Oryzias latipes: one gene and its partners. The main gene of each other region encodes a partner of the protein of the gene in region 2 in a complex. Links are inferred from orthologs where the notes say so. Each region holds a gene or a part of one and is shown on either strand. Other genes may lie near its edges. The genes, in order: tctn1, b9d1, tmem67, tmem107, cep290, mks1 and transmembrane protein 216.

Region 1 (4,245 bases), on a different chromosome or scaffold from region 2:
GTCTATTAACAGTCGACTGAGAATACTACAATTTAAATGGTTAATGCGTTTATATACAACACCAGTGCAACTAAATAAATATAATAAGAACATACCAGATGTTTGTGCAAAATGTGGATTTAAAGGCACATTGAAGCATTGCATGTGGGAATGTCACCAAATACAAATCTTTTTGGAAGAAGTTAAAATTACAATAGAAAAAATAATCTCAAAACAACTTACATTGAGCCCTACCCTATTTCTTTTGAATATATATCCAGTGAAACATAATTTTAGTAATACAGAGAGTACATTTATTGATATCAGTTTCTTAACGGCTAAAAGGTGTATTGCACAGGCTTGGAAAAACATGAGCAGACCTAGCATAAATCAGTGGCTAAAACAAATGTTGTATTGCCTTCCTTTGGAAAGAATAATGTATATCCATAAAAGCAAACAACACCTATTTGAGGAAATTTGGGGACCCTTTATTAATTATATTCAAAAATTAGAACTAATAGATGATTCAACAGATTTTTGATCTCAACTGCACAGAATTTTGCAACCACAGTTTAAAAGCTTTTGAAAAGGAGAGCTGTGATGGTATCATGTAAGAGAAGCAATGTTCGTTGTTAAGTTTTGTTTTATGTAATTATTTTTATTTGTTTGAGTGCAGATATTTGTTTTGAGTGAAATGTCATACAATACAGTTTAGTTTTTTTATTTTTATTTTTTTTTTTTTTATTATTTTATTTCCTTTTTGCTTTTTGTCTTTTTATAAGGAAAACGTAACTGGTATTATTGAAGTTGCTGTGTTGTTATGACTAATTCTTTAAATAAAAAGTTGTGGAAAAAAAAAAAAAAAATCAGATTATTTAATGGTGGTGTGTCCCTTCAAGTTCTCGTCAAGACTAAATAAGTCTGTTGTTCTTTAAATTTGCACGTTAAAGAGGTCTTTCGCTTTAAAAAGAGTTATTTTCTTTGTTTGTTTATTGTTTAACCCTTGTGCTATCCTAGGCACTTTAACATTGGGAGTTGGGTCATCTAGACCCACTAGACAGTGCCCTGAACCTTTTTTCTTCAATGATTTGTGATCTTCACTGGTGTCCATGGATTACATGAAATCTTTCCACCTTTATCCACCTTTGTCATGGTAGGGAGAACACGTCAATGGAAGGGGGGGTCATCTAAGATAGCCCAAGGGTTAAAAAAGCCTCATTTCAACTTGTCTTATAAAAGTAAGACTAAACATGTTTTATGAATTATTTCGTTTGTTTATATGACTAAATGTTATATTCAGTCTGATAAATTAGAGATTAAACTTCTACATATTTCCAATTTTTTCAGAATATCACAGAAACAGCACAGTGATCAACAAAATATTGTTTGATTTTTTTTTGTTTTTTTAGGGATAACAGTTAAATGTGTTTCAGGGACCTTGCATTCATGCAACTGACCGGTAGGTGGCAGCCTATACGAACTGAAAGCCCACGAGCAGAAGCGAACAGCCGAAGAAGAGCAACAACCATAGCAACGGTCTATAACAAGTATGGCGGCGTTCGTCTTTTTAGCTTCGGATTTTTTTTTTATTTTCCTTTTGATTGTTACTGTAAATTCTAACGAAAATTCGACGAGCAGTTATTTTAACTCGACTGCGTGGGATGACCTAAACTTCACATCTGGAACGACGTTTGTTGCATCCACGGAGTCGACGGTGTTGAGCTCAACAACCCGGACCTCCAGCGGTACGGAGCCGCCGCCTCTGCCCGCCGAGCCCCTGCCTGTCTCCGGCCGCCTCCCCACTCCAGTGACCGCTGGTGCGTGTCCTTGAACGCAACACCGTTTTGTTTTGTTTTTGTCTAAAGTAACTCTATTGACGTTGCAAACAGTCCTTAAATTATTTACTTTAACCGTTTTTAATCTTTTTGAATTGCTTGTTCATTTTCTCAAAAAAACCTGCAAGGACCAGGTTATGCAAATGCTTTTCTGCAACTTTGAGCAAAACTTTCTTTAGTTTTTACAAGCTAAGAATCTCAGCAAAATTTGATGAAAGTGAATTTTTAACATAGTGAACAACATATTTCACACATACATCACCAGGTTAAGTCTAAAACCACAACTTTCATTGACCTTTGACCTTGCAAAGAAGCCCCCATCTTGAATTTTTCTTAAAACAGTTCTCTAGTTCACATTTAAACGCTTGGCTTCTACGTCCATGACCCCGTCGGGAAGCTACTTGGGGAAAAAAATCATTGGTTTTAAGGTTTGCAGATTATGAACAGCGTTAGCGTGGTGAGTTTGCAGAAGTGGCGTTTCCCTGTTTTTTACGGGAGCATTGTGAAAATCTAATACATTAATCGTTGGCCCGAGCTAAACAAAATGATATGTCATAACATATGTACATATTAGGAATGAGGGCGTGGTTAGCACATAACCTCCGTTGCCAAGCAAATCTAAAAATTTACTTTTGCCGATCTTTCTAAAAGTTATATAGATGCGTCCGTCACCCCCAGGCGATCAAAAAATTGAATGGTTGCCATGGAGTTAAAACTGACAGAAAAGCCACCAACTTTTTTTTCCCATAAATTTGTCCCGGGCAGCTCTGACCAGGCTTGCAGGGACAATGAGGGCTGTGAAGCAGTGAGGGCCGCTTTCACAACTTCAGTCATTATGTTATTAAAGTTTAAAAAGCAGCTTCATGATCAAAATACCAACATTTAAGGCTTCAAGATTCTGTGCTTGTTGTTGTTTGTAATCCTTTTTTGCTGCTGAAATCAAAAAAGGTGACCATTTCTTATTTGATATTTAAACTTCTCATCGGAGGATAGTTGAACTCTGACCTTCTGACCTCAGCTCTGTGTTTCAGTCGACACGCTGTGTCCCTGTGATGAGCACACGGACGCGTGTGACATCAGCTGCTGCTGTGATGCTGACTGTCAGCAGGAGGTGGCGCTGTTCACCAGCTGCTCAGTCACTGACGTGAGGTGAGTTTCAGCCGGAGGGAATCAATATCCAACACACTACTGCCCACCCATACGTTCAGGGGAACACATGTTTGCTTCTCATGACGTTAGGAATGTCAGCCGTGACCCATCATGCTTTGCCAGTCCACACCGTTATGGTTCCTGTTTGAAGAAGAGAAAAAATCGTTTCTTTTAAACCCACAGCTGTGACTCAAAGATCTGCTTCACCTTTGTTGACATTTTGAATATTTGAATGAAATGAGCTCCTAAGTGCAGATTAAGGAAACTTTCCATTTTTATACATATATAAGATTTTTTTTTTTAAAAGACGGGGAAAATAGGATCATTATGGCTCATTTACCTGTTCACAGGTAAAATCACCTGAGACAGCAGCACAAAGACAGCAGACAAGCTCAAAATTAAAAATAAATACTCCATAGTGCTTCATTTCTGGCTGGATTTCTGTTTTGGGTGTTTTAAGTCAGATTTAATCTCAGTTTTTCATTGTTATTTCTTCACTCACAGTGACAGCAGGCAGCTGTGCAGCCGCGGCGTGGCGAGCTACGCTTTGAGAACACGAATTGACGGTTTTTCCGAGCTTCTCACCTCCATCAAAAAGGAGACAAACTATGACCTTTTCTGCATCCATTCATACAACCGTGAGTCAGAGCTCCTCCTGAAGCTCATGTTTATGTTTTTACACACATTCTGAACAAAATTATCTGTATTTTAAACTTTCATTTAAACAAAAAAAAAATCAATGGATGATTTCTGAAAGTCAAGCCTGCAGGTTTCTGTCACATTTCTACAAATATGTCAGAATGATGTTGACATTTAGTTTGTCTTTTAAAAATTAGGGCTTTATTCGAGAAAAACAATTCCAGAAACAGCCAGTTTTTTAAGTAAAATCTGCTAACAGGAGCTGTAAAAACAGCAGAATTCAATTGTCTTAAATGCCGAAAATTAACTCATTCAAACACATTTTCTTCAGAAGTTTCCATATTGAATTTTTTATTTAATATTTTCACGATATCTGTTTTTTATCTAAGCCTTAGGATTTCAAGAACTTCATCCACTTTCATATTTATTTACCTTTTTACGTACAATTTAAGGAATTGAGACAGACGCCCAATTTTCTGCTTTTATTGTCTTTCCTGTCAGAAAATCTTCTTTTCAATTTATCTCTTTTTTTAAAATGTTGTTTACTACATTTCTCCATCTGTTTTGCAAATGTTAATTGAACTTTGTTTCCACATTGATTTTTTTTGCCGTATTTGCAAACACTCTCACATACCTGAAAGGT
Region 2 (4,100 bases):
AACCGGTAGGTGCAGCGTCTCCACCTCTGATGGTATTGGAGGAAAAAGAGGGATCTGCACCTGCTGTGTTCTGAGTCAGCTCTGTCTTCAGTTGGACTTGCCAGCATTTACAGTGGGAGCTTTCTCTCGGAGTGGTTTGGCGCCCCCTCGTGGTTACCTATGCTATTACATATATATTAGGCTTAAAATGAGGGATCGCTAAAGCTGCGTTTGATATTTACTCTGCAGCGAATGTTTTTTTCACTCTGACAAAAAAGATGCAAATATTTGAGTAAGAAAAAAAAACAAAGAAGCTCAATGCTACGTTTGTCTTTTCAAAATAAGATTTACTAAAAAAATGTTTCTGGAACAAACACCAAGGAAGCCACTTTCCTACAGAGTAACACTTTAAAACAATATTTTTTCCAGTCTGAACAGATAAAACATCATTGCATTTGTTTAGGCAATGACAAATGATAGAAAATAAAGGCGAAATGTAGTGAGCTCTTGTGTTTCTGCTTCTATAAAGAGGACCGACTGACCTTACAGGCTGTATTTCTATACATATTCAGACTCTTGGTTTTTCTCTTTCATGTGCGTCCAGTTACTTTCTCATAGCACTGGGTGCAGGCTGCTTCTTTTTTTAAAAATGTTTATTGGATTTATACTCCCCCCCCTGTTGGCATTATAACTGTATGATATAATTTATCATTTGTACTATTGTAACATACTGTTTTTCTCTATTCCCTATCATTCTGTGTAATGGGTTTATTTTGTAGGAAAAGTCGTTGTGGTATTTTAACGGCATCTAAACAAACGAGCGCAGCAGGCGGATGGAGGAGGGCGGGTGTAGCTGCGTCGTTTCAAAATAAAAGGTTTCACTGCAGCTCCACTGTCTTTGCTTTTGTGTAGTCTTTCAACCAAATGCAGCACTTGGTGTTTATTAAAAAAACTGTTCTGCAAAACAATATATATAGAAATATGCATTTAAGTACAAATGTATAAAAAGATTTGAGGCTTGTGTTAGAAAGCGTCCACGCCACCAGCAGTCTGGGGGTTGGACGGTCCCGTGTCGTAGCCCATCTTCTTCATGTCTTTGGTGGTGATGTGGAAGGAGACGGTGACAAAACCTTGAGAACGAACTCTTGTTACTGCAGAACAAACACGACAGAGCGGGACTTTAGTCTTTTTGTCATTTCAAATACAAAATAAGTAAAAAAAAGGATGGGGGGGTTTAAAATAAACACTTTTATAATAATTGATTTGGTTTAGAAGCACCTCTGGGACACATTTCAAAGTGAACGACTCTTGATGCAGTAGGAAAATAAAAGATTCCTCACGTACCTTCTCTGCCTTCACCCTGCGCCACTACTTTAGGGTCTGTGTACTCCGGTCTTCGCCCTAGCAACCAGCTAAATGGGGGGAGGGGGGGGGATTTTTTAGTACTTTTAAAAAGTTATGATGAAAAAATGTTTTGTCTTACATTTATGTTGCTTTTCCCCAAAATTTTGAGGAAAGTTGCTTTTAAATTTATAACATTTTGACAAAACAAGAACCAGAGACTGCACAAGAGGAGCAATACACCTACTTTACATAAAAAAGGAAAAGAATGTTTGTCCAATAGTGGGGTTCAGCTAAATTAAGGTCCTAAAAATATCTTTTTTTCTAATGAATTACAATCTGTGGTTTTCTAACATGATGCTAACAGGAAGTAATAGATATTAATGGGAAGCATGTTCACCGCAGAAACCCATTATTGGGTTTTTGATGGAATCAAACCCCCACACTCAGGGGAGGGGACAACATTCGATTAGAGCTCAGCTGCTGTCTTTAGTCTTCACAGCAAAACGCCTCACCCTGTGAACTTCTGGAGTCTCCATGTGGGCTCGGGAACAAACATGGGAATGGTTTTAGTGTGTCTATGGAGAAACAACAACCTGTGGTTAAAGGGGAAAGACAAAGAAGAGGTTTCATGGAGGTGAGACTTACTGTCCGGGTGTGATAGGGATGTGGGTCGCTCCATAGCCCCTCACCACATCATTGCCAAACACATCAGGTCCATACACACTGATCACAATCTGAGGCCCTAAAAGACAAAAACAATTTAAAAAAATCATTTTTAAAACGCAATCCTTGAATAATCAAGTGATTCATCATAAACTCAGTCTGTGGGGGTTTTTGTGAGGCTCACATCCAGATGGATTGGTGCTCTTAAACGTTGTTTCCAGAGGAAAGTTCCAGACTAAAGTCCGTGACAAACTGCTTTTACAGGTGATCTGGGTGATGCCCTCTTCTAGACCCTGCAATAAATAAAGCCTAAAATTAAAAACAACCAAACCACGCATACTTTAAAAAAGGCTGTTTTATGAGGAATTATGGGTAATATGCCCCTATCAGACGGCTATAGACGCGGACTCACCGTCGTAATGGCCCAGTCGTGTCCGTAAACGTAGGAGTATTTGCAGTAAAGGCTGTCATACTCTGGAAACTAAATAGCAGAAAACATTTTAGAGTAATAAAAGAAATCAAACGAGGGGAAAATATCTGTAGCTCGCTAGATGTGGCTAAAGCTAGCTAAAATATTAGCTAACATGCTAAGACAAAGCCGCAAAACTCACGTTCGCTCCCTCTATTTGTCCGTTTACAGTAAGAAGGAACAACGACGGGTTACTCGAAGCCATCTATTAACGTCTTCTTTAATTCCTTCACAAACTATCATTTAACGCTAGTTTTAAACCCGTTTGTAAGAGGAAATTGATTAAACTCGCAGCCGTTGCTAAGGCAACGCGTGTTTTTCCCTACGGAAACCCGCCAGAGTCAAACAAAACGAGAGCGCGTTAAAATAAGAACCTTTACCGCCACAAGATGACAGCATTGTTAAAAAGAAAAGCGCTTCATTAAATGCCGCAGACTAAAGTCACATAAGGAGATGTCATCAAGCATTAACAAGAAAACAATAATTAATCGAACTGTATCAAACTAATTGTGATTTTAAGCGGCATTTTGCCTTGTTTTTGTCCATTTATTGTTATTTTTTTATTTTATTTTTTTTACACCGTCATTTTTGTTGATATTCGGACTACCGTTTTGCTTGGTTTATGAATAAAAAAATTATGGAAAAAATTGAGGAAATTTGTATCAATGAAAAGATTTATGTTTTCTCAAATTAATCAACATCTTTTACACATTTGGAGCCCTTATATTAAGCGAAAACTTTCTTGATAAATTATACATACATTGCAAATGTGTTTTTTCAATTTCTACCACTTTCAATTGAATCCTTTGCTCCAATTTCCCCTAACTTCTTTCTCTCCCATCCTTGCTTTTCTCCATTGTTTTCAGTTCTCGTCCACCTCCTTCCTTCTCTCTTTTTTCCGACCTTTCTAATATTTGTTCGGCCCCTCACAACTTTTTCGCCCTGTTCCTGTGACTTCCTCCTCGTCCCTCTGACCTGCTTTCGTTCTCCTCTTCCCTCCTCCTTGCTGCCAAATCCCTCATTTAGAGTCTAATGAGCAGCAGCCCATGTTTTCAGCTGGTCAATTCAAAGAGGTCATCTGGTCCACAAGGGCTCATGATTCTCTGCAACTGCTTTGCACAACCCTTCTGTGACAATATGAAGCCATAAATGATGAAAATGATGAGATGAACAGGAAACACCCCCTCCATCCGGCATCTGCGACCTCCTTTAAGTCCCTTTTCGTGATTGATAGTGACACTTCACACTTCTTTCGAGAACAGAGATTTTTTTCCCCTTTTTGTTCAAGTCAGTTCTGCCAGAGATATAATGGAAATCAGTCCCTAAAGAGGCCTTCACCGATTTCACCAGAGAGCCAGATTCATTCCAAATATGAGTGGCTGAAAAATGGATCAAGAAAAACAGAGGAGCAGCAGAGAAAACACTTTAATGGTCACAAAATGTCATTTCTAATAATGATGAACCAGGGAGTCACATTTTCCAGATATGTGGGGAAGAACATGGAAAAGCATATATGGCAGAAAGGAGATGGGGGTAATTAGTAAAGAACCGGAGAAGAGGAGCAATCAAAATTGGAGAGGAAGTGGACACAAGGTATGAAGATAAGCTGATGACTAAATATTGAGTGAAGTGCAAATTACATAGC
Region 3 (4,154 bases), on a different chromosome or scaffold from region 2:
AACGTTTGAGATTTGTCCAGAACAACTTCTGGGCAAACTCAAAGTTTGAACATTCCTGCTGAAACTACCCATTTACACTTTTCAATGACACAACACAATTTTATAACACAAAAGTAAATATTAACACTCAGAGATAAAGATATGAGGAAATACAACAAATCATACATGTTTAACTATTTTTATATTTGTTTGAATAATGAAAATCGGAGCAAAAGTTTAAAAAAGATTTCATAGATATTTGTAGATACAACAAGAATATAAGAAATTGTCAAATTTGTTTTGCCCTATACTAAAACAAAACAAAAAAAAAATCACTTTTTTATTGACTTTTATTTTTCATTTCCACTAAAGTAAAGATGACCCACTATGCAATATAATGAAAATCGCTCCGCTTTGTAAATCCCTAAATATTTTTATTTAACAGTGCAAATGTAGCACAAAGCACCTCCTCTCAGAAAACTAGAGTTTTCTATTAAGTAAAATATGTTAAATGAAATTCTCATGAATATTAAGTCTGTACTGTATATAATTACCTGTCCCCATTACTGTTTGGTGCAGTGAAGGCAGGGCTGTCTCCAATGCATGCTTCACAACTGGCCTCATCAAAAAATGTGCCATTAATGTCTCTTTCAACTGAGAAAAAGAAGAAAAATTTATAAAAGTTTTCTACCAAAAAACTTACAATTACCCTTATTTACAGCTTTTAGGGAAAACCCTTTTTGTTGGGTTGTAAACCTCTCATTGTACTGGTAACTCACCTAGGATATTTCCAGATGGGCACTGGCAGTTGCCATTATCATCAAGTCTGCCGGGGCAGCGAATACAACCAAAGCCGTCTTTCGTTACTGCCTATAATAAAGGACAGGACACCAATAAGCACTTTTATTTATATCAATTGAATCGGTTAGTTCAAAAGGGGTCCAAGTCCAAGAGGTTTGTTAATCCAGGAAATGATTTTAATTGCATAGCTTAAAGGGGGGCTACACTAAATGATTAATACTTTACCCAGATTTAGCACCAGTTCATAGCTTACAAATGCTATAATATGAAGCAGCTCACTTTTATAATTTCAGAGGACTAGCAAACTAAAGTCTCTGGACTTGGGCCCTTCTTGAATTAACCCTTGTGCTATCCTAGGCATTTTATCCTAAGGAGTTGGGTCATCTAGACCCACTAGTCAGTGCGCTGAACCTTTTCTCTTCAATTATTTTTGAACCTCACTGGTGTCCATCTAAGATAGTACAAGGGTTAACCCTTGTGCTATCTTAGATGACCCCACCCTTGCATTGACAGGGGCGCTGCCATATTGGATAATTAGTGCTGCCATCTATGGGATAAAGCAAAACCCATGCAAGAAAGGCCCAAGTTCAGGAATTTTGCACTTAATGCATTTTAAATGTCAAGTATAGACAGTACATTACAACGGACTTGGGACTTTTTGCACATAATCAGATAGCTTTTCCCTTGAAGACCATAGAACATATAATGTCTCTATTTTGAAAAATTGTGGACTTGGGCCCCTTTTGAACTAAGTGATTCAATTGTGAAGTAGTTTTAAAAAACATGAATCAGAACATTCATTATGAAAGAAAGCTATACTTACAGGCTTGTCTGGGGGACACTGTTCACATGTAAACGGGACTTTGTTGCTGCTAAAATGTTTGGTCTTGTAACCCGTTTGACAAATGCAGCTCAGACCTATATAAGACAAGACATTTCTTTATAGTTTAGAATAATATTGTTTTCAATGGTGAAAGGAAATACTAATATTTAGTTAAATAAAAATCTTATTTTAAAAATCCTTGCAACAACTATATTGTGCATTTTGAATTTAAATTTAAAAAGAAAGAAACCCAGAGAGGCTGGTTGATGTTTTGATGAGGGTCAATTCAGATTCACACCGTCTCTCTAGATACAACAGTATGTTTAAACAAATCATACATTAATAGTGCAATCCTATATGGCCTCTCAAAGCAGGTCCATATAAGAACAGTCAGTGTACATTTATTTAAACTAGTTTGAAACATTTATCAGTTTAGAATAAAAATGATTAGCTTTCCTGTTTCATGAAAAATGAAATGAGACTAGCTTGTTCTGAACATTAAAGCTGAACAGAGTTTGCTTGTTTAGCTTTATGCCATTTTTCCTATACAAGTTAGGGAATATTTATGGTAATTCAATTAAACTTCTAAAAATATGATTTTTAGACCACATGCTATAACATGTTCTTAAAGGTTAAGGTTTTAAACTTTAAATAATCTTAAATAGTCTATAATATATTAGTGTGTACATATTAAAACATTATTTGGATTAACAAAAACTTTCTTTAAGAATAATTTCTTTATGTACATGATACAGTAAAGTAAAGGCTATCTTAACTGCTAGCAACAGAAAACAATTAGAACCAAATTGGCTTTTACTTCTTCGAGGTTGTTCAACAGCTGGAGCTTAACTCGTTTGAATGTAATTATCTGTTTTTATTTTTAGATATATACACTAATGTTGGTATGTTTACAGTGTGTACACTGTATCATGTAGCTTTATCGCGTGGTGATCGATACCCACCTGAAGAACTCTTGCGTTGATTTGCGCCGCATTTGGCACACGACAAACTCGAGATGTCGAAAAATTCGTTCACACCACATCCGGAAGGATCTTTAAAGGGGATAAGAAACTGCTGGCAATGGAAAAGGTGCGTATGAATCACATAAAACAATGTAAAACAAAACATCTGCCTGTCAAGAACAAGCGGCGTCCCCGTCGCCATGGTAAAAATGTCCTCCTTTTTACCCACAATCCTTTGCAACACGTCATGACGTAGGGCGTTCCAACTTAAAAAAAAGTTTAAAATGTTCTTTTGGGGAGAGAACATCTTGGAGACACCGTGAGGATAAATAAATAAATCACTAATGTTGTGAAAGAATAAAAAAAGACAACTCTTAAACTCTTTGAAGTTCTTTGAAGAATCTCAAAGATTCATAGACTAAATCAAATAATAATGGTTTTCATTCATACTTTTAAAAAGATGTCTTAACAGAGGATAACAATAATGGGATTCTCTGTAACGAAATATAGGCAGCTCTAAGGATTAATGTTGCCTCTTCCAGCAACAATATATATATGTATGTGTATATTTGACTATAATACTTAACCTTGTCCACAAGTAAAAATAAGTATATTTTTGTGACTTTCGACTCAGTGATTTTAATTTTAGCTCTAGTTTTTTTCTTGTTTGTTGATGTTCTGCTATTGATTACATAGACATTCAGAAACAACAGAGACTTTGAGTTGAGCTGGGGGGGGGGGGGGTACAGATAGCAGAATGATCTTTACCAATTTGACCTCGTAGTGAAACAATTTTAATTGAAAGTTTAAAGCTTTCTTTTTCAAAGACCAGAGGCTATTGTGGATTAAAATCTAACTTTTCTTTTTCTGTCACTCATTTCAGCTGGTCCGTCTTTGGGTCACAAAGAAGTCAATTTATGACCCAGAAACACTTTGCTTTGCAGACGACATCTGCCTCCTCAAACCATCCACCCAGACATATCATCTTAGCCTCAGACTAAATTATTTTGCAATATTATTTTTTTATCAAGGTTATTGTGAAGGTCTATCAAGCTCCTTCCTGAAGATGCAATCAATGAAAAAAAAAACTTCAGCTTGGACCTGATGTTTTTTTGTCAGTCTCCATGCTGTGAAAATCTTTGTGCATTAATTTTATTTTGTAAGGTTTAGCATTTAATATAGAAATGTAACATTGATTCAGGTTTTAGAAGATTTATTAGCACATTTAAAACAGATAGCCAATTTTAAATCTAAATATCATAGATGTATACAGGAAATCTTTCACTTTTACTTCAACCAGGTTTAGTGTGACCTAAGATCAATTTAAGTTCATCACCAGTACTCGTCCATTTCAAGTACAACCACATCATGCCCCAATATGTGCAGCTTATTAGTGTGATTTATTGTTTATGTCAGACTTCAAAGCAGTTGCAGGGGCTTCAAGTGTATTATCACCCAGCTAACTTTGGTTGACTGTGTGACTTACTTTTTTTGCAGCATATTTTATACAAACCTGTGTTTTATTCAAAAATTATATATTTGATAACTACATTTCCTCAACAAAAGGCAAAATGGAAGCTGTGATTTTG
Region 4 (3,992 bases), on a different chromosome or scaffold from region 2:
GGTTCCGGAGGGAGGTCTGGAGGAGGGTAGCCTCTTTGTACCAACACCTCGGCCGCGCACAGCAAACACACACTGTGCTGGCATGGCAGGAGGACGGGCTGCTTCACGATCTCGTCACACACCGGGCACAGCAGCTCCTTTTCCATCATCTTCATGTTGGACTGGAGAAGAGGGAAGAGGAAAGTTCAAGAAGACAACAGAGCTGCGACTTGATTTAAAGAAAGGAAATGATGGCAGTGATGAAGGAAATATCTAGATGAACTCTGGTTGTGTGCCGTTTATTGCACAGGACAAGAAGGAAAGAAGAACGTAACCTCCATGATGCTTAGCAGTCCTCCTGTGATTGCTTCACTGCTTCCTATTTCTAAGAGTAAATTGGCTGAGACATTATTTTTAATAAAAAAAAACAATTCAAACAATGCAGAAACATTCTGTTTGCCATTGATTGTTGCTTCTTTTTTTTTTAGGTTGTGGTGGCCCCTTTCCATTACTGCAGCCACAAGGCGCGGCATCCGGTTTCTATGACAACGCACATCTTCCTCTGGCCCTGATTTTATGCTATTTGGCAACATTCTTAGGTTCTTATATCTATTAAAAATGAATTATGTGGTCGTTGCGACTGTATATTTTCTATTGCCATTCACCACCTGACTGTGGCTTTCAGCCTATTCCGGGTTATTAAAGCGATGACAAAACATGTTTGTAAACGGTAGAAAAATGCTCCGCATTCTTATTTCATAGCCATGATTGTCCAGATCAACATACTATCAATAAAGCAAGTTATATGTAAGACTACATTATTGTTTTTCCTCTCTTAGATGTAGCACGTTTGAAATGGCTATATTAGAATAAACCGGCGTCGCACACTTACACTGATACGAACCAGCGCGTCCATGACAGAGGTAAAGGTTTGGAAGTCCTCTTCTGCCATGCTCTGTTGTTCTGATGTGCACGCTTCCAAAGAAAAAATGTTTCGTTTAAAACGATTATTAAGTGGGTGTGAAAAATAATCCCCGGCTGTTTTGTAGCAAACACTAGGCCCTGACGTGCACAGATAGCTGTGCTTGAGGTGTGCTGCTCAATCTCTGTCGTCTATCCAAATGCGAATGGAATGGTTGCTGAAACTGGTGGAGGGGGGTGGGGGCGTTTTGCCCCAAAATGTTAGCTTTATCGGGGAGCGTTTAAAAAACATTCTTTTAGAAAATAAAAACAAAAAAAAATCGGCTTTTCTACGTTCTTTAGATACGCGAGGCTATGTTCATCCTACAATCACACGTTAACTTTGTCATGTTTTATTTTTGTGTGTGTGTTGTCGTTAGATGCTAGTGTTGTGTGCTGCTTAACAACAAAGGCGATGGGTCGCATCCACTTCCCTTTTGTGTCCGGAACGTTTGGAAGGTGGATGTTTTTACGGGTCGCAATATTGGATGCACCCAGCCACTGGCTGTTGTAGCAACCCAATGCGACACCGGGGTGTGTTAAATTTCTATGTATAATTTTGTTTAGAAAAAAGACTATTAAAGAGTAAAATTTTAATTTTATAAGTTCATTGGCTTTAAAAATGCTTGATTATCATTTTTGGATTATTTATTGAACCGCGGTTGCGTTGATATACCGCGAACCAGGAGCGACGACTGTTGTGTGAGATCTGTGAACTCCAACGTGACCGTTTGGCTTTAAAATTTAGAATTTTCTAGCATTTCTGACACTTCTGTGAACCAGAAACAACATGTCTTCTATTAGCAGTCTAATTCCTGCGCGGTTTCTCACCATCATAGCTCACCTTGTCATCGTCATCACAATCTTTTGGTCCAGGGTAAGTAAGGACAGTCCGTGTTGTTGTTAAAGCTTGAAGGACGACTCAAGCTGCCATAGAAATATTTTTTATTATTATTATTAATATTATTATTGTTTTTTGTAAATATCAATAACGTGTAGTTTGTGATTTTAAAATAAAGAACAAAAGTTTTTAAAAAAATCGTGAAATAGAAATAAATTCTACTCCACAAAATATTTTTCCTAAACTGCAGAAATATAGATTTTTGTTTGCTGCAAAAAGTTTATTTCTCCTTTTTTTTATAAACAATTTTTTATCTAGAAATGTTACCATAATCGGCTATTTTATGTATTTGTTTCTGTTTTCTAGGAGAATAATGTGAAGGCATGTTTGCCTTTGGAGTTTACTCAGGAGCAGTATGACACAGAAGACAGAAAGTAAGTAACAAATGATTGAAAATATATGAAAAAATCTTGAATGCTCACATTCTAACCCGCATCCCTTTGGTTATTGTTCAGGTTGGTTGTAGCCTTGTCAGCCACTCTTGGTCTGTTTGCTATCGAGCTAGCAGGCTTCTTTTCAGGAGTCTCCATGTTCAGTTCCAGCCAGGGTCTTCTGTGTATCCTTTATACTGACAGTGATGATTCATATTTGTCATGGTCATTGATACTGAACTATTGATTCACAATTGTGAGGAAAATAAAGATTTTCAGATATTGTCTTTTCTCCAGCAGCTCTAGCTTCTAAATGAGCATCTGGTTTATAGCAGAAAACATGATTTACAAGAATAAATGAATGGATTAAACAATGCTTATTAGTCATTAGTTACAATTCCGTAACTAAGAACTTGTCTGCTATAGCAACAGGAGTCCATGCCAGTGCCTCTGTGGCTTTGCTCTTTTTTCTGTTTGAGCAGTGGGAGTGTGACATCTACTGGTGGATCTTTGCTATTTGCAGGTTAGTCTTTTGACGCCTAGCAAATCCGTTTTATCCTTTTTTCCCCAAAGTTTTCCCTGACAGCTGCTCCTTTCAGCATTAGCTGTCCACTGCTCCGCATCCGTATCTTTGTCTTTCTTTGTGTTTGAACAATGGGAATGCTGGACTTACTGGGTGATTTTTGCCACCTGCAGGTTGGTTCGCCTGCATGCTTGTTTTCAATGAATAGTTGGCTTTTAGAAAGACAGCATACTGTAACAGTCACTCTTATTTTGAAGGAATTTGAATGCATTTAAGGATTGTTCTTTTATCTTTCTGGATTTCTATTAATTTCTTTTTCTATTTCTCATCTTTCAGTGTCTTGCCAGCTTTTGTGGAGATTCTTCTGTTTATTGCGGTTTTTGGACTGAAGAAGAAGCCGTTATGAAGAGGAGTTGATTCAGATTGAATGGATGAACGCTTCCATTTGTTGCTACAAGACAGTAGCTGCAGAAATTCAGTTATTAGATCACCTTAAAAAGGGGCCAACATTGTTAGAATTTCTTCAGCAGGCATCAATAGATCCAGAAAGAATGTTTTTTTTTTCAATCTTTGTAAATATATTTTGAACTATGTAATTACAAAAAATAATTATACTATGTTGTTTGTTTTGAATAAGTTGGAGAGTTAGCAAAAGTTTAAAATGTAAACCAAGTTTTTTGTTGTCAGTAGTGTATTTGTTTCTCATGTAAAGCTTTTCAACGCTAAATCCAAAATACATTTATACTTTTTTAAATAAGTCTTATTTCTCTCATTGTATCTATCTTTATCCTCATTTGGTGACTTAATTGTCAGAGAAATATTAACCAAACTGAGCCAGAAGATAAATTAAAGTCGGGCGACAAGAGTATCCAGAACCGCAAGGTTACAAAACATGAAACAGTAACTTCATTTTTGTGCAGCTATCAAAAAAAAGAAACAGTATTTAAAATTGATTTAGGGAGGAAAAATCCTTTCCTAAATTATTAATGTAGTGAGACATGTTGTAATATAGAAGAATTATGTCTATGAAGACTCTCTTTCATCCAGGTTGATTCCATCATAGTAGTAAGTTTAGGGGCTGTCCTCTTAGTTTTTAAAGTTAGAAAACGTTTCACCTCTTATCCAAAAGACTTTGTCAATTTTGTAATATAGGCTAAAAAAGAAAGGTTTTTTGACGTAATGATCCCTCCCTTCTGCTTTTCTGCATGCAGCTGCGGACAAACCATTGCAGTTGTGATAAACAGAATCAGGCCCTGCA
Region 5 (3,500 bases), on a different chromosome or scaffold from region 2:
TGTCTCCAGGTGCAGAAACAGGCCTAGATAAAGAAGGCAAGGCAACAATCAACAATGAAATGGTCTCTGCTGCGAGAAGGATCACCACTTTAGAGATGAAGGAGCTGAATGAGAGGCAGAGAGCCGAGCATGCCCACAAAATGTACGAGCATGTGAGGAACTCCCTGAAGCACGTGGAGGAGCGCAACTTGGAGCTGGAGTCCAAATTTGCCAAGGTAGGAAACTTAAAAAGGAGACGTAAAAATGTTTAGGGAGCTAAATTCTTGCATTGTAGCCAAAAATATCCATCTTTGTTTGTAAAATAATTTCAGTGTTGTTATTATGCATCATCCAGAACCTATGGGATCAGATTTCTATGTCAACATGTTGGTTTGTGACTCTAACAGACACAGGGCACATGATGCATGTTCAAGAATGCGCTAAATGAGAGTTCTGAAACGTGCTCAGGGAGGGGCTTCTTCCTTTATTTCTTGTTTTTCTGTTTACCAGCACATGTCTGCCATGTACAATTGGAAGAAGCTCAATGTGAATTATCCAAACAGTGTAAATTTCGCATGTCTTTCTCCATGCTTTTTTATTCACAGCTCTATTCCAATTTATGAAAGACTTGGTGTCATGTAATTCCAGCCCGGCATAAATGCAATCATTCATTTGTAGGCCGCGGTGCAGAGCCAGAGCTGCCAAACTATGACCGGAAGATTACAGTGTCAGTTCCTGCCGTGCCAACCCATTTGTCAAAGTGTCCTTGGGCAAGACACTGAACCCCACGTTGCTCCTGGGGGTTAATAGCTGGTGCCAGTGTAGTGAAGCCGCTGCCGGTGTGTGAGTGAGTGAATGGATCTGAGGCTGTGCAGTGCTTTGGGCTGCCTAAGAAGGTAGAAAAGCGCTACTTAAGCTTACGCCACTTACCATTTTCTCCATGATCAATTTCCAAACGGTTGGCACTTCCAAAAATTCAAGGAGACATCATCCATACGTCACTACCAAGTCTGAGTCCCTGATTTGTCAAAGTTCAACATGTGTTCAATGGCCACACGTTTAGCACATGGAGCCCAAACACAGTCGTAGAAACATGTAGCTATGCCTACACGATATGCACGAGGGTTTTAAACACAGTTTGACTTTACACAGACTTTTCATCGGAAGTGACTGCTTGAGTGCACATCCAAGGGCGATTTTGTACATAGCTTAACAAAGCTTAGAAACTGGACTGTTGTTTCTCTGTTTGCTCTTGATGTTTTCTTAGATAGAGCTTGATTCTACAATGGCTTTTATCAAATCCTTTCTTTGCTTTTTTTTGTTTAGTTGACCAAGATGAATGCTGAGGCCCAAAAGACTGAGCGAGAGCTAAGAGATGAGTTGGCGCAAAGCATCGGCAAAGCTGTGAGCGATGCTGACAGGGCCAGGATCGCAGAGCTGGAAAAGGCTGAGGTGGAGCTCCGGACTGAAGTTTCAAAGTATGTCCGAGTATCTCGGTATTAAATCTATCAATATGCTCTTATCACGAAAAACAAGCTGTGTTGAAAACTACGTAAGCATTCCAGCCATTAATCTGGTGATAAATTTTAAAAGTTAGAGTTGTTTGTTGAGTCTGGTTTTTTAGATAAGTTCTCCTGGCTGTGGTTTTGATGGGAGAAGCTGGAGAGTTTTTCTTGGGCTATAATCAACATTTGTTTTGGAATCGTGAACATAACAGCCTCTCAGCATATTTCTTTCCCTGTTTGTAAAAAGTGAAAATCTGATCTTAGTGCTGAAGTACTGATTATAGATCCATGTTCTCAAAGTAAAATGAGCTTTTCTGTGCTTTTGGATCAACACAATCCCCTGTGTCTGTAAATCATTCGATCAAAGACACCTATTGTTTTCTGTTATTGCTTAAGTTGCACTCAACATATCTTATTCTTTTTGACAGGCTTCAGGAGGTGTCAGAAGTTGCTTTGACTCAGGTTGCTGCTTTACAGGCCAGACACAGGTCTAAAGATAAAGAAGTAGAAGCTTTGAAGACACAAATACTAGATTATCAGGTACGTGAAGTGGTTTTTTTGCTTGGGGCTCTACTACACCAAATGATCTATAGAAACCACATCTGTTAAAGATGAAAATGGTGTCTTTAACATGTTCTTTTGGCATTTTTTTCTGTTGATTGAGGATATATATCAAGAAAATTAAGCTTAAAATTGCATTTCTTAGTATTTCCTTATTAAAATCGTTTAGAATCAGGAGCAGACAAAAGAATACTGTTTGAATTGTGGTTATTAAACTACAATATCTTCTCAGTCACAGTCAGATGAGAAGGCTCTGATCGCAAAGCTCCACCAGCACATTGTTGCTCTGCAGCTCAGTGAGTCGGCAGCTCTGGAAAAACTGGATTCCTCCACAACTCGCATCCATCAGCTGGAGGCCCACATCCTAAGAGCTGAGCAGCGTCTGGACGCCGCCGAGCGCTCGCTTTTCCTCGCCCGCCAAGAGGCCAAGAATCGCTCGAGGCATCTGAGGCAGACCATCCAGTCACTACGAAGGCAGTTTGCTGGAGCGCTGCCACTTCCTCAGCAGGAGAAGTTTTCTGTAGCCATGCTGCGACTCCACGAGGACAGAGTGAAGGCCCAGGAGGAGATGAAGAAAGCTGAGGAGGAGAAGCGGAGGGTCCAGGGAAGAGCCGAGGAACTGGAACTGAGACTGCAAGGCCTACAAGGGCTCATGTCAACTCTGAAGGATGCAAAAGGAGCACAGAAGGTTTGTAGAAGAAACATATGAGCCTATTGACCTATCTTATGCTCACTCTATACACAAGTATGCTATTTACACAGGTAACTGAGTGGCACAAAAGGATGGAGGAGGCTCGACTGCAGGAACTGAGAAAAGGAAGGGAGCTGGTATTCCAGAAAGAGGAGATCAGGTACCTGAAGAACCTTGTGGGAGAGCAGGACCAAACCATCCGCTCACTGGAAGAGGAAATTGTTCAGCTGCAAACAGTGAGAAAATAAAAATCTCCAGACATTTTTAAACTGGCTAAAACCTACTTTGTTAATATATAGAATACTTTGGCTTTATTTCATTACAAAGGTTCAAGGTTCAAGGTTAATTGCCGTTTGCACATACAGTACATTTGAATTTTTCTTTGGCATCTCTCAGGTCAGGGTGAATATAGAGCAAGACAAAATTTAAGAAGAGAACAAAATTAGATTTAAAAAAGTACAAAGTATAAAATACAAATAAATAGGAATATTGCAGCGTCCCAACCTTTTCAGAAGAAGAATTATTGCACTTATGTGGAGTTAAATTGTGTTAACAGTTTTAGAAGGAGGCTTTTTAACAGTAATTTACTTTTCGACATTAAGCTTAACGAAGAGCAACAGCTTGCAAGAGACCAACGGGAAGTGGAGTTGGAGCGCCAACTGGAGGACTACGAGAAGCACCAGAGTGAGATCGTCGGCAGTGTTGAGGTAAAGCATCGCTTACAGCTGGTTAAATCAGTGGTTTTTCACCTTTTTGGAGCTTGA
Region 6 (3,500 bases), on a different chromosome or scaffold from region 2:
TCTCTACCTCTGTGCCGGTCCCAAGCCCGGTTGCTTTGAGAGGCTTGCGTCAGGAAGGGCATCCGGCGTAAAACATTGCCAAGTTTACCATGCGGCTCGTTCGCTGTGGCGACCCCTGATGGGAAAAGCCGAAAGAGAAACAACTTGCATGTAAGAGACTAAACCACTTTTTTGAGTGGAAGTTGTTAAACCCTCAACAAACTCTCCGTCTACAGGAAGATGTGGCTTTCTTCAGCTATCCCTTCACTTTTGAGGCTCTTTATATGAAGCAAAAAGACGGTGAAGGTTAGTATCAGCTGTTAAGTATTATAGCATAGTTTATGTTTTATGAATCCAGGTTTTATCTTACTTTAGAAGGCATTCCTCAGTGGCCAGTGATTTACTTCAAGGTTCTTTCCTTGGACTTCTGGCAGCGCTATCGAACGGAAGGCTATGGTTATCTGCTTTTTCCTGCCACGCCCGGTACGATGTATTTCCTGAAATCTCATTTAAATTCAGTTTATTTTGTTACTGTTCACATTTAATCAAGGGATTTCTAAATGGTTAGTGTTTCTACATCTTGTTTGTGTTTGTATACCAGGTAAACATACCATGACATGTCACACATGGAGGCCTGTTCAGACAGGGACTGTGTCTGCAATGAAGCGCTTCTTTATTGGAGGTTCTGCTGAGCTTGAAGATGACAGTTATGTCAGAACTCCAGGAACATTCAAGGTGAATCAAAGCTGGCTCAAACAAAGTTTTAGACAATTGATGTTGATTTTTATCAGGTATAAAGTTAAATAAATATGTTGTGATTTTATCGATACATACTCCTTGGGCAGCTGGGTTTCAATTGTCAGTTGAAATTGAGTCAATCCTAACTTCAATAAAATTATTGATTCTTCCATTTCTGAAATACATTTTTGTGAATATTATTTGTCAAAGCAAAAATTAAACGTTTTCTTTTTTTAAATCACTATTTAAGTAATCCAAAAAATTGGACTTAGGATAGAAATCTGAAAACAAATTGATGATTATTTTAATTTTTGCTGCTATATATTGAATTAAATTGTACACTTTTGAATAAAAAAATCAATAATTTGCATTTACTGTGACATTCTGGTGGAAACCATTTAACGGAGTGCAAATATCAGAATAACCAACAGACTTTGAAAAAAATGATTTCTTTGGGTTTTTGATAAACAGGGACTTGCTTTTGATACATGATTGAAACAAAGGTGTTTTAGTATTTACAGTATGTGTATGTTTTTTGTTGTTATTCTCTAACATTTTTGTATCAGGGGGACAGGCTGAGTCGCTTTGGTTTCTGCACTGTAACCACAGGAAGCGTCACTTTTAACCTGCACTGCATCCAGCAAGCCAGGTGAGTGTCAGGTAAGCGTCAAACAGGTCTCAGTCTGCCAGCAACATAACTACAGTGGTCTTTTGTGTCCGTGTGTACATTTCAGGGCATTTGTGGATGCTGCTGTTCTGAAAAGGAGGAGACAGAAGGTTTTTGAGCATTTGGGAGGATTTAGTCAACAAGGAGCTGTTTGCAACATTCTGGGTAAAAAAAAACAAAAAATCCATTTGACTTCCAAGCCTCTTTGCACTGAAATTCTGGAGGTCTGAACTTTATTTAGGGATCAACATTTGTTGGGCTATTGGGATGCAATTAGGATTTAAAATGTGCTGTATTTAAATGTTAATAATAGTTTCATTTAACACGTTTCATGTTTTTCTCTGTCAGAGGCTTTTCAGAGAGCGAGGAAAAAGATGCAGGAGGCCAGAGAAAGTTTTCCGAGAGGCGTAATAAACACTGGTTCCCAACTCCAACAGGAATCCTCAGCATGAGACTGAAAACCAAACTTTCAGTGGGACTGAGTGGAAGAAGATCCTGGCACAGACTCAGAATTTTGCAAAGATGACTCTCTAGTGACCGGTCCAGTGAGCATCTGTGGAACATTTCATGTTTTAAGGATTAATAAGTCACTTTGTCAGGTTGTAATGATGCAAAACATACATCAATCCACCAAAATGTGGAAAAAGTGACCACACCTGCCTTAGAAACTACAGGCAAATTTCACAGCAGTTTTTAATGGCTAAGGAACTTGTTGAAAATCCACTCGGGAGTTTTTTTTTGTTGCAATTAACTCTTTTACAAGTTCTAAGCTGCTTTTCACCTCCTGCCCTCTACAGAAGCTGCTGCGCTCATGTTCTGCCAGTACCTACTGATGTACGCAGATACGAGAAATGTTCTGGTGCTGTTTAAATCTACTAAAGCTTACTTTTTACTGTCAGAAATAGCCTAGTGATTAACAGAATGAAGCTGAATTAGCCACTAACCAGGAAAGCCTTTGTGTCGTTTCCCTACATCAACGGGTCTATTTGGGGCAAAACAGAGACTCTTGCTTCATGTCCCTCAAAAGGATCTTCTCAGAGCTAATCTCAATTTACCTGACCCTCTGCTGCTTTACTTTAACCTGGTTCCATGAAGCACCATACCAACTTTCAGTTAAAGACATTTAGCTTTTTTCTCATTTAAACTCAGTTAAATTATTATTGATCTGCCCCTTAACAGTACAAAACTATTGTTACAGTCTACTGTAAAAATAGAAATTGAAATCCTCCTGAAACATCTTTTTCACAAATCAAGCAATCTCTATAGTCTTCTCCTTCTTTTTAGAGCCGGTCTTAAGGATCTCGTCATTCTCATTTGATCAGCCTATGCACAATTTATGCATCTGTTCTTTTGCTATACTTGATACAGGGATGAATGGTGCTTGGTTCAGAATAGGATTTTAAAAACGATGCCAGTTTGGCTAAAAGAGATCATGTTCTCAGGATTACTGTCAGGAAAAAAAAATCAGCTGATTTTAATTTGTTGGGGTAGTTTTTGCATTTTATTGCATATAATTCTACAAATAAATGTTTTTGCTACAAAATATTTGAAGTTTCATTGTTGTTATACATTTGTTATTTTAATTAAAGCAACATCCTTTTTTTTTTTAAAACAAACCCAACTTTTTATGTCATTTTTATAATTTTGAAGCCACACTGTATATAAGTTACAGGTGAAAAATAAAGTATTGGTTTCATGGATTGTGGTAGTTGACCCTAATGGGCTTTTGATAAAGCTTAATTGATTTCTTTGCTGTTTGTATGCTGTTTCTCAGTGAATATCAAATGAAAAAAAAATAGATTTTTATCTTTTGTGAAGCGTCATTTAGTTAAGAAACTAATGCATTTTATTTTTAGAGAACGTGTTCTTTGATTTTATGAGGATTTACAACACTGACCTAGGTTAGAAAGGCTTTTATGTGCTTGCAATTTAATCTTTAACTATGTAAAAAAGATTGTAATTTGCATTTTTTTCTTTTAAACTATCAATAATATAAACACCTGCAGTCTTGCACGTTTACTTGTTAAAAGTAAGATGCTCTGATAGTTTAAAACAACAAAACAACTAGCAAATAAAAACACCAACATGAACATGGCTTAAAAAATTGTCATTAATT
Region 7 (4,199 bases), on a different chromosome or scaffold from region 2:
GTGATTCCTAAGAAAAGAGGACGGACAGCCTTCATGCAAACACAGATCAAAGGTTTTCCAGCTGAAACTCAGACCTGTGGAGGTTCTAGTGGCCCGTGGCCGGCTTCATCTGATTTTGGTGACACACAGAACTCACAAAGCTGCAGAAAAATGTTTATTTACAAAAATCCCTGAAGAATCACAGAAACTTGTGTCAGCGGCACATATGCTAACAACTGTCCTGGTGTCCCTCTGGGCTCCAGAGAACCGCTCTTCTGTCCTCAGTACACCTTGGACCTGCACAAGAACATCGAGGGTCAAAGACTTCCCGGCTCTCAGAACCGGCCTGCGGGCTCAGGGTACCTGGAGAAGGAAGATAAGGCGATGAATCCCAGCAGGAACTCCAGGCCGTAGAAGCAGAGCAGGACGGCGCAGAGCAGGAACTCCAGCCGCAGAACGAAGGTCTGCAGCAGCAGGTAGTAGACGGCGAGCGCCGCACAAGAGACCAGGATGAAGAGCGACAGGCAGGAGGTCAGGGAGCGCTCACACAGGTTCCCCTTCCAGCCTGAATCGACACAGGGGGACAGCGTCAGCGCCTGCAGCCGGCCTTGAGAACCAGCACAGAGCCTGAGCGGCTGAACGCTTCGCCGCAGGTTTGAGTCTGATGTTTCCAGGCAGCAAACGTCTGCAGAGATGCTTTAACCCCTTCATGCCCACTGGTGCAAGGAAGAACCACTCCTCCTCAAACCGACTTTCATTTAGCCTCAACTTGAAAGCAAAAACACAACTGATCATTTTTTCATAGCTGGATATAAATTCTGGCGTGGGGGGGGGGGGGGGGGGTCATGTCACTTCCACAGACAGAACCCTGGAACCCAGGAGGAGAACCCTCCACCTCCGTCTGGGAGGCCGTCCAGGTGAAGAGTGAGAACGCTCTCTCCTCATTGGACCACCGCTCAGACGGGCGTGGAGAGGTTCTGCACCGAAGGTTCCGCTTCAACAGAACCTTCAGAGGCGGAGCTCCGAACACAACGATGAAGGTCACACATTCACACACGGAACCAAGCTTCTTCCTGCTTTGATCTCCAGCATCATCATCGTTTACACATCCCAGCATGCCTTTCATGCTCTGAAGTCCTTTTTAAATCTGAAAACCACATTCTTGGTCTTTCTGACACTTCCATGCTAGCATAGAACCGTGATTGTTCTGACGTTAGCTCATCCAGCACCAATGTCAGGCCCGTCTGCATCCTCTTCATCCTGCATGTTCCATCTTTGTTCTCCAGAACCTCTCAGCCGCACTTGCGGTTCTGGAGAAAGCAAAGCAGATGTTTGTGTTTGGCGTCACCGTAAAAGATGCGCAGAGCCTCCAGAGCGAGGAAGAGGAGCAGCAGGACCACATCCAGGACCAGATTGTCAGACGGGTACGGCAGCAGGATCCCTGCAGCGACACCAGCAGCAACCGTCAGACGCTCCTCCATGACGTCCAGCAGAGGAACAGAGGACAGGCTGGAGGTTCTACGACACCTTCGGCTTCATTCTCAGGTGAAGCCGTGGTGAACCTGCAGGGGGGCGGGGCCACACACCTTTGTAGATGAACATGAGGATCTCCGCCAGGTAGAAAGCGGCAAAGTACCAGCTGTTCAGGTAGAGCAGCACCTGCAGAGGCGTGGAGGACAGCTGAGGAGGCGTGGTCAAGGACAACTGCGGCTGGTGGACAGGCCCCGCCCCCTCTGACAGCAGAAGGATACGATTGGTCGGCTCCCTGCAGACGCGGTGAGACAAAAATGTTGTCAAACTGAGAGTGAAACTGAACGTGAGGCTTAAGAAGCGTTTAGGAGACGTGACGGTTGTTGGACCGGATTATCTTTAGCTTTAGACGGTGGTTTAAGAACGTTTCAGAGGTAAACACCGAGTGGGAATGTTTTTAGCCGCTAACCGGAAATCAACGGCGGACCGGAAGTGTTTCCGTCCGTCTCTGATAGCTGCAGAAAAATGACGGGGAAAGACGGCCTGCGGTTTTTGCGCCGTTCTTTCTGCGACGATGATAAGAAAACACTCACCAGGCGCCATGTTTGAGCCGCTGTGGTCGCTATGGAAACGGCTCTTCTTCCCTGGACAGCGTCAGGCGGGGCTCCGTGCTGCCCCCTGCTGGTCAGGATGAGCAAACAGAAGACACTAATATTTGAAACAATTTCACATTATTTTATTAATGGATGTTCTTCAGTTTCACCACTGAATCACTCTAAATACATAATTAGTCGATGTTACCTTTTATCATCAATGGTCTGAAATCACGTGACATGCGGGTTTCTGTTGCTGTTTCCTGTTGGACCCTCAGAGACCTCATTTAAAGAAAATAACTGTTCTTTCTGCGACATCAACATAGAAACACTTGATCATCTGTTTATTAAATGTATAAATACTAACAGGTTTTGGGAGGATTTCTTTTGGTGGTTCTCTTCAAATTTTCTTATTTCTATTTGGTTACAAAACACATTGTATTACACATTGTATTATTTGGAGTCGTTTCTGGTGATAACTTATTTAGTTTGGCATTTAATACTTTATTAATTTTTGGGAAATTTTTCATCTATAAAAGGCAGATTTTTACAAATCAAATCATTATTCAATACATTTCATAAAGAGATCTGTTTATATTTTAAATGCAATAAAACTGTCAATTTTCATTGAAGATCACATGTTAAATGACAATCCCTAGTTCTCTGAACTACGGTTCTAATGTTATTTATTTATTTGTCTTGTATCTTACTCTTTTTTTCTTTTGTTATGTCTTTCTATTGTAGTTACATGAATGTGTAATCCTTTGAAGTTGAATTAAAAAACCCACAGTGACTCCAGGAGGAGGAGGAACCTTCACAATCTGGTTCTGATGTCATCCGCTCTGCCCAGCACACAACTACAATACCCAGCTTGCCATCGCAGCGCTCTGATTGGTCGAAGGCGCGCCAGGGTTTACGTGGCACTGCTGCGGACGCGCAGACTCCGTCTGAGCTCGGTGGTTCCGGCTGGAAGACGGTTCGGTCCGGATCAGCATGCAGCCGTGCGTGTTGGCGCTCCTGCTGCTCGCGCTCTTCTGCAGCCGCGCGCCCGCGCTCTACTTCCACATCGGAGAGCTCGAGAAGAAATGTTTCATCGAGGAGATCCCGGACGAGACCATGATCATCGGTGAGCGGCTAAGCTAGCTGCCGCGCGGCTAACGCTCACAAAGTTCCGGTTCGCCGTCAAAAAGTTTCCCAACGCCGCCAGAAGTAGTTAGTGAACCGTTTGATGAACGGAGACGTTGGCGAACACCTCGTAGTAGAAGTTGGTGAGGATGTAGGATCGGTCTTTTACCGGGGAACGGAGGACGGTTTAAGCTAACTTCATCCTATCAGCACGCGGATAACAAACCAAACCGCCTGAAGAATCCAGCCCGTTCCCCGAACCTAGACCAGGAACCCAAGCGGTTCTCCTGGAGAATGGGCAGGCAGCTCCTCCAGGAGGAACCAGCAGGTGGAGGTCCGGACCAGAGTTGATGATGGTTCGTTCTGAAGGAGCTGTCTGGGACCGGTCGCTCCCTGAGGTTCCTGCAGAACCGGGAAAGCGGGTCCAACGGTCCTGACCAGCGCGTCCAAGGACCGGAAGTGCTGCGTTCAGCCGGATGTTGTCACTGACTGTGGGGCGCTTGTGTTTGTGTGCAGGAAACTACCGCACGCAGCTGTACGACAAGCAGAAGGAGGAGTACCTGCCGGCCAGCCCGGGTCTGGGCATGTTTGTGGAGGTCAAGGATCCTGACGAGAAGGTAAGCGCCGGAGGAGGTCCTCCTGACACGTTAGTGCCGTGATGCTCACTTTGAGGAAGGTCTCTTCGTTAGATGGTCTCTGTAACCACGGCAACCGCGTCCTGACCTCCGTAAACATCCAGAGGAGGACTTGGAGCTGCTGCTGTTAGTCTTCTGTGGAGGTTTTGGTGGAGTGGACTCTAAGCTCCTCCCTCGCCTGCAGGTGATCCTGTCTCGGCAGTACGGCTCGGAGGGACGCTTCACCTTCACGTCGCACACGCCCGGAGAGCACCAGATCTGCCTGCACTCCAACTCCTCCAAGTTCTCCCTGTTTGTGGGAGGAACGCTGGTGAGGAGGCGGTCGGCGTAAGCTCCGCCCCTTTACCTTCACACCCACGGCTTTAACCGCCGTCTGTTTGCCGCAGAGAGTTCACCT

What was found.
Region 1: b9d1 (region 2) and tctn1 share a complex: the UniProt entries of both Homo sapiens proteins name them as parts of the tectonic-like complex. The link is inferred for Oryzias latipes from reciprocal best matches to the Homo sapiens genes B9D1 and TCTN1.
Region 3: b9d1 (region 2) and tmem67 share a complex: the UniProt entries of both Homo sapiens proteins name them as parts of the tectonic-like complex. The link is inferred for Oryzias latipes from reciprocal best matches to the Homo sapiens genes B9D1 and TMEM67.
Region 4: b9d1 (region 2) and tmem107 share a complex: the UniProt entries of both Homo sapiens proteins name them as parts of the tectonic-like complex. The link is inferred for Oryzias latipes from reciprocal best matches to the Homo sapiens genes B9D1 and TMEM107.
Region 5: b9d1 (region 2) and cep290 share a complex: the UniProt entries of both Homo sapiens proteins name them as parts of the tectonic-like complex. The link is inferred for Oryzias latipes from reciprocal best matches to the Homo sapiens genes B9D1 and CEP290.
Region 6: b9d1 (region 2) and mks1 share a complex: the UniProt entries of both Homo sapiens proteins name them as parts of the tectonic-like complex. The link is inferred for Oryzias latipes from reciprocal best matches to the Homo sapiens genes B9D1 and MKS1.
Region 7: b9d1 (region 2) and transmembrane protein 216 share a complex: the UniProt entries of both Homo sapiens proteins name them as parts of the tectonic-like complex. The link is inferred for Oryzias latipes from reciprocal best matches to the Homo sapiens genes B9D1 and TMEM216.

The regions. Positions count from the first base shown.
Region 1 is NC_019868.2:27,624,984-27,629,228, forward strand, and holds the start of tctn1 (tectonic-1), read left to right. Parts: upstream 1-1,445; 5' UTR 1,446-1,528; coding exon 1,529-1,796; intron 1,797-2,845; coding exon 2,846-2,963; intron 2,964-3,467; coding exon 3,468-3,601; intron 3,602-4,245. UniProt on the Homo sapiens protein: Component of the tectonic-like complex, a complex localized at the transition zone of primary cilia and acting as a barrier that prevents diffusion of transmembrane proteins between the cilia and plasma membranes.
Region 2 is NC_019866.2:15,984,757-15,988,856, forward strand, and holds the start of b9d1 (B9 domain-containing protein 1), read right to left. Parts: upstream 2,801-4,100; 5' UTR 2,661-2,800; coding exon 2,598-2,660; intron 2,468-2,597; coding exon 2,399-2,467; intron 2,280-2,398; coding exon 2,171-2,279; intron 2,066-2,170; coding exon 1,969-2,065; intron 1,899-1,968; coding exon 1,836-1,898; intron 1,392-1,835; coding exon 1,324-1,391; intron 1,131-1,323; coding exon 1,003-1,130; 3' UTR 1-1,002. UniProt on the Homo sapiens protein: Component of the tectonic-like complex, a complex localized at the transition zone of primary cilia and acting as a barrier that prevents diffusion of transmembrane proteins between the cilia and plasma membranes.
Region 3 is NC_019874.2:17,683,327-17,687,480, reverse strand, and holds the start of tmem67 (meckelin), read right to left. Parts: upstream 2,801-4,154; 5' UTR 2,768-2,800; coding exon 2,566-2,767; intron 1,699-2,565; coding exon 1,604-1,698; intron 850-1,603; coding exon 759-849; intron 634-758; coding exon 534-633; intron 1-533. UniProt on the Homo sapiens protein: Required for ciliary structure and function. Part of the tectonic-like complex which is required for tissue-specific ciliogenesis and may regulate ciliary membrane composition.
Region 4 is NC_019874.2:18,549,684-18,553,675, forward strand, and holds tmem107 (transmembrane protein 107), read left to right. Parts: upstream 1-1,422; 5' UTR 1,423-1,729; coding exon 1,730-1,816; intron 1,817-2,146; coding exon 2,147-2,214; intron 2,215-2,295; coding exon 2,296-2,396; intron 2,397-2,637; coding exon of another isoform or gene 2,638-2,734; intron 2,735-2,810; coding exon 2,811-2,907; intron 2,908-3,070; coding exon 3,071-3,140; 3' UTR 3,141-3,492; downstream 3,493-3,992. Other genes in the region: tripartite motif-containing protein 46, read right to left, coding at 1-161, 872-931. UniProt on the Homo sapiens protein: Plays a role in cilia formation and embryonic patterning. Requires for normal Sonic hedgehog (Shh) signaling in the neural tube and acts in combination with GLI2 and GLI3 to pattern ventral and intermediate neuronal cell types.
Region 5 is NC_019864.2:2,301,316-2,304,815, reverse strand, and holds part of cep290 (centrosomal protein of 290 kDa), read left to right. Parts: intron 1-9; coding exon 10-215; intron 216-1,305; coding exon 1,306-1,457; intron 1,458-1,912; coding exon 1,913-2,024; intron 2,025-2,277; coding exon 2,278-2,733; intron 2,734-2,807; coding exon 2,808-2,972; intron 2,973-3,338; coding exon 3,339-3,443; intron 3,444-3,500. UniProt on the Homo sapiens protein: Involved in early and late steps in cilia formation. Its association with CCP110 is required for inhibition of primary cilia formation by CCP110.
Region 6 is NC_019872.2:25,021,724-25,025,223, forward strand, and holds the end of mks1 (Meckel syndrome type 1 protein), read left to right. Parts: intron 1-215; coding exon 216-285; intron 286-354; coding exon 355-462; intron 463-580; coding exon 581-714; intron 715-1,283; coding exon 1,284-1,366; intron 1,367-1,451; coding exon 1,452-1,549; intron 1,550-1,732; coding exon 1,733-1,836; 3' UTR 1,837-3,082; downstream 3,083-3,500. UniProt on the Homo sapiens protein: Component of the tectonic-like complex, a complex localized at the transition zone of primary cilia and acting as a barrier that prevents diffusion of transmembrane proteins between the cilia and plasma membranes.
Region 7 is NC_019868.2:30,553,169-30,557,367, forward strand, and holds transmembrane protein 216, read right to left. Parts: upstream 2,801-4,199; 5' UTR 2,251-2,800; exon of another isoform or gene 2,128-2,250; 5' UTR 2,053-2,127; coding exon 2,043-2,052; intron 1,745-2,042; coding exon 1,731-1,744; exon of another isoform or gene 1,660-1,730; coding exon 1,566-1,659; intron 1,542-1,565; exon of another isoform or gene 1,461-1,541; coding exon of another isoform or gene 1,421-1,460; coding exon 1,328-1,420; intron 545-1,327; coding exon 343-544; intron 277-342; coding exon 261-276; 3' UTR 141-260; downstream 1-140. Other genes in the region: transmembrane emp24 domain-containing protein 9, read left to right, coding at 3,036-3,168, 3,684-3,784, 3,987-4,112, 4,189-4,199. UniProt on the Homo sapiens protein: Part of the tectonic-like complex which is required for tissue-specific ciliogenesis and may regulate ciliary membrane composition.